2 linked regions of the Macaca fascicularis genome follow. The protein of the gene in region 1 purifies or fractionates together with the protein of each later gene. This does not show direct contact. Links are inferred from orthologs where the notes say so. Each region holds a gene or a part of one and is shown in the gene's direction. Other genes may lie near its edges. The genes, in order: DTX3 and RNF114.

What was found.
Region 2: the proteins of DTX3 (region 1) and RNF114 purify together in Homo sapiens (affinity purification with mass spectrometry; 3 studies listed by BioGRID and IntAct, counting the BioPlex papers as one, with this or other methods). This does not show direct contact. The link is inferred for Macaca fascicularis from reciprocal best matches to the Homo sapiens genes DTX3 and RNF114.

The regions. Positions count from the first base shown.
Region 1 is NC_088385.1:64,415,270-64,419,623, forward strand, and holds the start of DTX3 (probable E3 ubiquitin-protein ligase DTX3), read left to right. Parts: upstream 1-1,479; 5' UTR 1,480-1,514; exon of another isoform or gene 1,515-2,388; intron 2,389-2,645; 5' UTR 2,646-2,686; intron 2,687-2,840; 5' UTR 2,841-2,903; intron 2,904-3,085; 5' UTR 3,086-3,132; coding exon 3,133-3,161; intron 3,162-3,507; coding exon of another isoform or gene 3,508-3,526; coding exon 3,527-4,256; intron 4,257-4,354. UniProt on the Homo sapiens protein: Regulator of Notch signaling, a signaling pathway involved in cell-cell communications that regulates a broad spectrum of cell-fate determinations.
Region 2 is NC_088384.1:106,019,567-106,023,798, forward strand, and holds the start of RNF114 (E3 ubiquitin-protein ligase RNF114), read left to right. Parts: upstream 1-1,275; 5' UTR 1,276-1,289; coding exon 1,290-1,429; intron 1,430-4,232. UniProt on the Homo sapiens protein: E3 ubiquitin-protein ligase that promotes the ubiquitination of various substrates. In turn, participates in the regulation of many biological processes including cell cycle, apoptosis, osteoclastogenesis as well as innate or adaptive immunity.

The DNA.
Region 1 (4,354 bases):
ATAAAAAATTGTGTATTTGCTCCCATTACTATCATAATACAGGGAATAAATTATTCAATCCAAATTCCTGTACAGAAATTTTTATTTTTTTATTTTATTTTTATTTTTTTAATTTTACTTCTCTGAGGAAGCCTGTGCTTAAGGGTGCAGAGACCAGCTGAAGAATTCTGGTGTTCAAGGTGTTGGGCCCCTAACTAAGGATGTGGGTTTCTAGACAGATGGCTGGGAACGTTTTTTAAAAAGCTGTGAAGGGTGTGCACCGGAATGGAAAACTTAAGTCTTCAACTTCGTGGGAGGTCAGAGGTAGTGAGGGCCAGGGAAGGGTAGGGTGATGGGACCCTTCCTCTTCCCTGAGTTCTGGGCTTGCTAACACTCCATCTTTGTAAAGGTGAGTAGGCCTCTCAGCCCACCAGCTAAAAGAAACGGAATCCAGTATTCCCCCAGGCTTCCTGGGAAAGCTGTCTTCTTCCTGGAGGGAAGGAAGAGTACAGCAGAGTCCTGGGAAAGTGAAGAAAGTGACCAGCTCTCCAGTCTAGAGGGGGAGTGAAAAAGGGGTGGATGAATAGAGGTTGTTGCCAGTTTGGGAGATTCCTGTCTTGGCTGAGGAAGTCTTTTGGCTGGTGGAAAAACCTGGCTTGATGTGGCCCTAGGGAAGTGAGTTGAATTGGGCAGAGACTGCTTGATGTGGGAAGCAGAGCAGAGCTTTTTTTTTTTTTTTCCTGAGAGTTTTTAACTCTATTTGAACCATACACACTTGACACTACCACCACCTCAAGCCATTTTTTAAAAAATGTATTCGTTTCCCATTCTGCACCAGCCTCCATATCGCTGTTTGTGGAAAGAGAAAAATCAGAGGCACTTACCAATGACCAACTGAGAGCAGGTTGTGGGGGTCACAGGAGGTAACAATCTAGAAACAGGCAGATGAGGGAGGGGATTGAAATAGTTTAGTACCCGGATTTGTTTATTTTTTAAAACCAATGCTTTTTTTTTTACTATGACTCTTCCCATCCCACATTGTTCCTCAAAGGCCCTTCTACCATAAGGATTCAAAAAATTGCCGCCCTCCCCCCCGAATCCCCATATACCCACCAACACTTCACCCACCCATCCACCACCAGCTCCCCGGAGCTGCTACGCAGCTGGCTGGGAAAGAAAAGGGAGAGTGCTCCGCCGGGAGCGGGGAGCGAGAAGGGTGGCGTCTCCAGGGATTTAACCTCCTACCCTCAGTTCCATGACGCCACCCCCTCCCTCCAAAGACTGGAACAGCGCCTCCATTTTTGTTTTGGGGAGGAAGGGCAGGGGCTTGCGGATAGAAGGGGGTCAAAGGAACGGTGATTATCACCTGTGAGGGGAAAGAGGGTGCTGTCCTCCCTCCTTCCCTTTCCCTCAGCCTGCACCCCCTGCAACCCCCAACCTTTCGGGGTCTCCCCCCCCCCTTGTTGCTAAGGCCCGGACCGTCATCCCAGCAACAGCCTCAGTCATGTGACCGGCAATGGCGGCGCTGACGAGAGGTAGGTGAGCCCGGCGCCCCCCACACCCACCGCGCGCCCCCCAGGCCCCGCTCGCACCCCTCACACGCCCCTCGCTCCCCCGGCGCCCCCTCCTCCACCTCCCCTCCCCGCGCGCGGCTCCGGGTTCCCCGCTCCGTGCCCGGCCGATCATCTTTCTAGCACCCTCCAGCCTTGGCCTCCATTCGGGGGTTCTGAGGGCTGCGATCGGGGCCGACATGCATCCCCGCCCGGCAATGGGGATCCGGGGGCTTTGGCGAGTGAGGGATGTGGGGAGTTGGTTCCGGGTCGGGTCTTGGAGGAGGCCGTGGGGGTAGGGCGGGAGCTGCCTCAGTGGATGCCCCCAGGGACCCTTGCCCTTCCGGGCTGTCCCTCCCTCTGGCCTCTATCTAGAGGGAGAGACTGTCCCTTGTCCGGCCTGGGTTCCCACAGAGGAATCACAGACCCACCCTAAACTGTGGCCCCGCCTCCCTTTTCTGTGCCAGCAGGACTTGGAGCTAGGACACCTAGGTCCTGGGTCCCCTGTGATGGGGAGGGGGGTGTTGCAGCGCAGATACACTGTATGGGCTGAGACTCTAGGGTTCCATTTTCACTTTATGAATCTCGAGGTGCATCTGGCCTTGGGGGACGATGATGGAGGCATGAAGGGACAGCTGCACCTTTTTGGATCAGTCATTGAATGGAGGTCACACTAATGGCCCTTCTTTCTGTTTGAGCTGCATTTGGAAGTGTTGTGGGTACAGCCTGGTAGCCCAATGCGACCAGGCTCAGGGGAAACATCAGGCCCCTCCAGCTGAGCCCTTGTGTGAGCCCCGCCCCTCCCTAAATGCCAGACTTGGGAGCTGACAGACAGCCCTGCCTGTGCTGGGTTTAAAAGGTGACAATGAGAACTTTGTTATTGCAGGGGCTGCTGCCACTTTGTTCACATCCTTAACAGACTTCAGCAGAAGGGACTGAGTTAGCTCTCAAGGAAGGCTCCCTGGCAATAGGGGCTGAATTATTTGGGAACGTGGAGCAGGGGAGGAGTTGGAGAGCATAGGAAATATTCCGGTCCATGTGATCTGAGGGAGGTGGCAAGAAGACCTCCACCTGTGTGGGCGTTTTCTTTCCTGACATCTTTTATGTGTGCCCTAGGCTTTCTTGGGGGCCTCAGAGCTGGGGAAGAAAGGAGGAAGGTTAGCATGTTCCTTCTTGAGCAACTTGGGGAGAAGCTGATGATGGAATTCTGCAGAGGAGAGAGGAGATGGAAGTGGAGTTTTTATTTCTGGGTTGGCTGAGGGAAATGGTAACATTTGCCATCATAACTTTTTACCCTTCCCCTATTCCCAGTCCTGGTCAGCTGAGTGGAAATAGAAGGATTTCTGCTGCCATCATCTTCCATGGGCTTCCCAGGTATCTCTCCCACAAGGGATCCTCAATTTTCACCCTTAAGCTGGTTTCCTTCATTCCATGTTACCATTCTCAGTAACCTATACCCAGGTTTCTGTCTCTGTTCCATGGGCTGCTGGGTTGGGGGCCATGGGAATTGGGAGAAGGGGTTTCTCACTTTCCTTCCTTTTTTTCCGCCCTACCAGCTCACATGACCTACAAGTAGGGAGCAGGGAAAAAAGAGTGAGCCTGCATGCCAATTCTAAGCTCTTCAGGATCAAAGTAAGCAAAAAGGAGGGGCAAAAAGTCTCCCTCCCCTTTAAAGAGCCCATTTTCCCCCCAGAAGTGGGAGGGGCAAATTGTTTCTATGATCTGGGAGAAATGACAGGAGAAACAAGACTGATACTTGGCTTAGATGATAATACAGCTCTGGAAACTTTTTTGCTCTTCAGTGGGCACTGGGTTTGGAAGATAAGGGGAGAGAGAATATGAATTTGGGGGAAGGGTTGGGGATTAGGCTTTGAGAAAACAGAGGTAATAGAGGGTTTGGAAGGAACCTGAAGTAGGAGGCACTGATACTTGTCAAATGGGGACCCCCCACCCTGAGTCCCTTTCACCCTGGGGGCAGTGTCGTTCGTCCTGTCCAGAATGGCAGCCTGTGGAGGCACCTGCAAGAACAAAGTGACTGTCTCCAAGCCTGTGTGGGACTTCCTGAGCAAAGAGACCCCAGCCCGGCTGGCCCGGCTTCGGGAGGAGCATCGTGTGTCCATCCTAATAGATGGCGAGACTTCTGACATCTATGTTCTCCAGCTTTCCCCACAGGGCCCTCCCCCGGCCCCTCCCAATGGGCTCTACCTAGCCCGGAAGGCTCTTAAGGGGCTGCTAAAAGAGGCAGAGAAAGAGCTGAAGAAAGCTCAGAGGCAGGGGGAGCTGATGGGCTGCCTGGCTCTGGGGGGTGGAGGGGAGCACCCTGAGATGCACCGCGCAGGCCCACCCCCTCTCCGAGCAGCCCCACTTCTGCCCCCAGGGGCTCGGGGGCTCCCCCCTCCTCCTCCCCCCCTGCCCCCACCTCTTCCTCCTCGCCTTCGGGAGGAGGCAGAAGAGCAGGAGAGCACCTGCCCCATCTGTCTGGGGGAGATCCAGAATGCCAAGACATTGGAGAAGTGCCGGCATTCATTCTGCGAGGGCTGCATCACCCGGGCTCTGCAGGTGAAAAAGGCCTGCCCCATGTGCGGCCGCTTCTATGGGCAGCTGGTGGGCAACCAGCCCCAGAATGGGCGGATGCTGGTCTCTAAGGACGCCACCCTCCTACTACCCAGCTATGAGAAGTATGGCACCATTGTCATCCAGTACGTCTTCCCGCCCGGTGTCCAGGGGGTAAGAAGACCATGGCCCGCCCTTACCCTTTGGCTCTCCCCAGGCTCTGACCTAGGAAAACCGGGTGAGGGTGAGTGTGCTTGTTAGATGTGAGACAG
Region 2 (4,232 bases), on another chromosome or scaffold:
GCTCAGGGGAAATTTTATAGCTATAAGTGCTTCAAAAGCATAGACAAAATTGCCAGGGTCTTGGGGGTATGGGGATGGGAGGAGGGAACAGGAAGTTATTGTTTAATGGGGACAGAGTTTCAGTTTCAGTTTAGCAAGACGACCAGAATTCTAGAGATAGCTGATGGTGATTATTGCACAATTTGAAAGGAATGTGCTTTATTGTTGTTGTTTTTTTTTTCAGATGGAGTTTTGTTCTTGTTGCCTAGGCTGAAGTTCAGTGACTGTTGGAGTGAGTGAACGATCTTGGCCCACGGCAACCTCCGCCTCCCAGGTGAAAGGCTTCTCCTGCCTCAGCTTCCTGAGTAGCTGAGGCTACAGGCATGGGCAACGACGCCTGGCTAATTTTTGTATTGTTAGTAAAGACAGGGTTTCACCTTGTCGGTCAGGCTGCTCTCGTATTCCTAGGCTCAAGCGATCCGCCCGCCTCGGCCTCACAAAGTGCTGGGATTACAGACGTAAGCCACCGTACCCAGCTCCTTTGTATAAATAAATGATATTGACTTTCTTCTTGCAGCTCAGGAATTAGATGTTATTAAATTTGCTTAAATTTAAGAAATGGCTGGGTACGGTGGTTCACCGCTGTAATCCCAGCACTTCGGGTTGCTGAGGCAGGCGGATCGCTTGCGTCCAAGAGTTCGAGGCCAGCCTCGGCAACAGTGAGACCCGCCCGCTCTCGGCATCGCCCCTTCCCCACCTCCTTTCCCCATCTCTACAAAAAAAAAAACAAAAATAAATAAATTAGTCCGGCATAGTGGTGACTGCCTGTGGTCCAGCTACGCAGGAGGCTGAGGTGGGAGGATCGCTTGAACCCCGGAGGTCGAGGCCGCAGGGAGCCATGATCGCTCCACTGAACACCAGCCTGGGCGACAAAACAAGACCTTTTCCCAAAATAGATTAAATAAATAAATAAATAAATTTAAGGAAAAAGCAATTTGATTCGAAGATAAATAGTGATAAGTGCAAGTGGTGCCGAACTAACGACTTAAATTTGGAAAACAGCGGCCCACGCGCAGAGCCCGTCCCAATTCTGGCAGCCTTTGGATTTGGCTTCCACGTTTTCCAGATTTCCCTCGGCCTCCAGCTCGCTTGGGTCAGAGGGGCCCCAGGGGCCGCGAGGGGCCGCCCACCCACGAGCCCCGCCCCCAACCGCTCACCGCCCCACGAGCCCCACCCCCTCCGGCCGCGAGCCCCGCCCCCTTGGCCTACTCCTCATCGGCCGCCGTTGCGCGGCGCAGAGCGGCAGCAAGATGGCGGCGCAACAGCAAGACGGCGGGGGAGCTGCGCAGCTGGCGGGGCCGGCGGCGGAGGCTGATCCCCTAGGCCGCTTCACGTGTCCCGTGTGCTTAGAGGTGTACGAGAAGCCGGTACAGGTGCCCTGCGGACACGTGTAAGCGGCGAGCCCGGGCCTGGTCGGGAGGCACTTAACTGACTGGGAAGGAAATGGAGCCGAGGAGCGAGATGCGTCTCAGGGCGGGAGCCAGAGGACCCACCCAGAGGGGCCTCCCGGGGGTGTCCCCCGGGGCTCCTAAGGGCCGTGAAAGCTGCCGGGGCGCTCTTCTGTCCCGCCCCGCTTACTTCTAAGTATCCCGTCCCTCCGCCCGTCTTAGCGGGGCAGCTGCTGTCCGTTGAGCGCCTGCAATGTTCCAGTCGGCCTGTCAGTCTCCTTCCCACACGTGATAGTGGACTCGTGCCCTGCAGGGACTTTAGGCTCGGAAGTCCGCCCTTGGAGAGCCGACGTTTCCTTTCTAGACCGCGTCGCTCTTAAAGCATAGGACATTTGGCATTGAGTCTAGCTGTGGCGAGTTATTCTAATACGAACCAAAGTTGGGAGAAACGCTGGACTAGACTAAAACAACAAAAGGGAAGTCTTTATGGGGATCTGGCCAGTTTGCCCTTAGCTGTGAAAGGGGGTGGGAGTTGGCAGATGGGATTGTTAGCATTCTACTTCCTGTGTAGGAGGTTTGTTTCTTTCAGTTTTCAATTAAGCCTTCATGACCTGAATACTGTGAATAGACTGGTTATAATGATTAAAGCAGATATGTGTAAAGATGTCCAGTCCTGGGCTGTGGCCGGGGCTTTCGAGGTTGGTCGATTTGAATCTAAGCCTTGTTCCATCAGACGCACAGACACACCTGAGTTGAAAGAATTGTAGACAACGTGGCCACCTGCTTCTTGCCTCAGAATTGGCTTTTCCTCTCGTCTCTCTCAGTGCTTACCGTGGGATCACCTTGGCATTGGTCTTGGCACCCCTTCACTAGTCAGCAGGCACAGTAGCCATTGCACTCCATGGGCATTATTCTATAGCCACCCTGCAGCGGGGGAGGGTTGGCAGCCATTTTACAGGTGAATACACCGAGGGTCCGACGCTTGCCTGTCGAAGGGTCGCCGTGGCCTAACTCTTCCCAGATATACTGCAGGTGACCGTTTTAATAGTCTAGAGAACAGTGCTTGGCACCTAACTGGCTGCTTTTTGCCTCATCATGTAGCTTTAGGCTATTCCTCTTTGCAATTCAGTTAGCCTGGAACTCCTCCCCAACCCCCCCCCCCCCCCCCCCCCCCCCCGCTTCGGGCTTCAAGTCCCTGGTTAGGTTACCTCACCAAACACCCATCCCCATCTAAATTACTTCCCCCACTTCCTTTCTGGGACTTAACTTCCTTCTCCTTGCTTGCACAGAGCAAAACTTACAGCTCATGATGGAGTGGCCATATCTTTTTTGCCCCTCAACTGACTGGAATGGCCTCTATGTGCCAGATCTTGGGGTAGACTCTGCCTTCAGAGTTTACAAATCAGTACCAATGACTCGTCAAACTATTGTAGAAATTCATTCTGCAAGTGGGAGGGTATTTCAGGGATCACACCTCTGTGCGTGGGGTGAATGATCAGGTAATGGTTGAATGAACTAATAAGTCGTGTAAGCAAGCTTCATGAGAGTTGAAGTGGTCTTTAGCTTTTTCATTGAATCCGCTTATCCTTGGATCAGGTTTACCTGATTTTGGATTAATTCAGTGGATTTCATTTACTATTAACATTTGTAAAAAGGCTAGACCCAGCACAGTTTGCTAAATGAAGAGCAGCAAAATTTGAGATTTTCTTGAGCTGGGTGAACCTTTCCTAGGTCAGAGGGCAAGGAACTACTGGTATTCAAACCTTGGCTCTTCTCTATCCTGTCCTCGCTGTCCTAGCCCCACGTGCTCAGCAGTTCAGTGCAAATTGAAGACAGATGGAAGCACCTCTGTGAGGGCAGCCTGAGTCCCCCTTAGCTCCAACCGAATGCTTTCTCCTGTGCCTACTTGATTTTTTACCTTTTGTGCTTGGAAAGTTGAGCATCACTACAACTCTGGCTGGGGCACTGGATTTTTATAAAACTTTATTTCAAGCCCTGAATGACTGCGTTCTCCAATCCAGTAGAATACAGCTGGAGAAAGGCAGCTGGCTGGGTGCCCAAGAGAGGAGAATTTCTTCCTAGCACTGTGACAGAGTGGAGCGTCAGAAGGCTGAACTAGGAAAGGGCCCATAAATAGGAAATAGAAACTGAAAAGCCAGCCCAGGATATTTGAGCAGTTCCAAAGCAGTCTGGTAGTTTGGGTATGTCTCAGGCACAAAGTGACTCATGAACATTTGATAGATGAGCTGAACCTGTGTGTGTGCTTGCAAAGAGACTTCGAGCTGCTTTTATCTGCATGCTGGGTTTGGTTGCATTATACTCACTGGACCCTCTGTGCTCTCTTGGGTTCCTGTTGTCATCTGCATTTGTGAACAGGCAACAGAAGTGATGGCCACAGGCCCTGCCTGTGTCTACTGCCTTATCGCTTGCCCTTCTCACCATGGTCTACCGCATTGTGGCCCCCAAGGTCTGCCTGCCTGCCTTTCCAGTCCTCATTTGTGTGTGGCATCATCTTGGTGTGGAGCTCTGCACCCAGATCTGTGTGGCTGTCCTCGTAATCAGGTCCCACCCAGCTCAAATGCCAACTCCTCAGAAGCAGCTTTCTGTGATCCCTCCAGCTGGTCTGTTTGCCATATTTCCTTCATATATTTAATCACTATCTGAAATTAACATTTGTGTTTCCCTTCACTCTAGAATGTAAGCATCATGAGAACAGGGCTTTGTCAAGTTTCCATTGCCCTTAGTGGTGAATGAATAGACTCCCTTACCTTCTCTGTACCCGGTCTGGAATTTTGCCTAACAGCA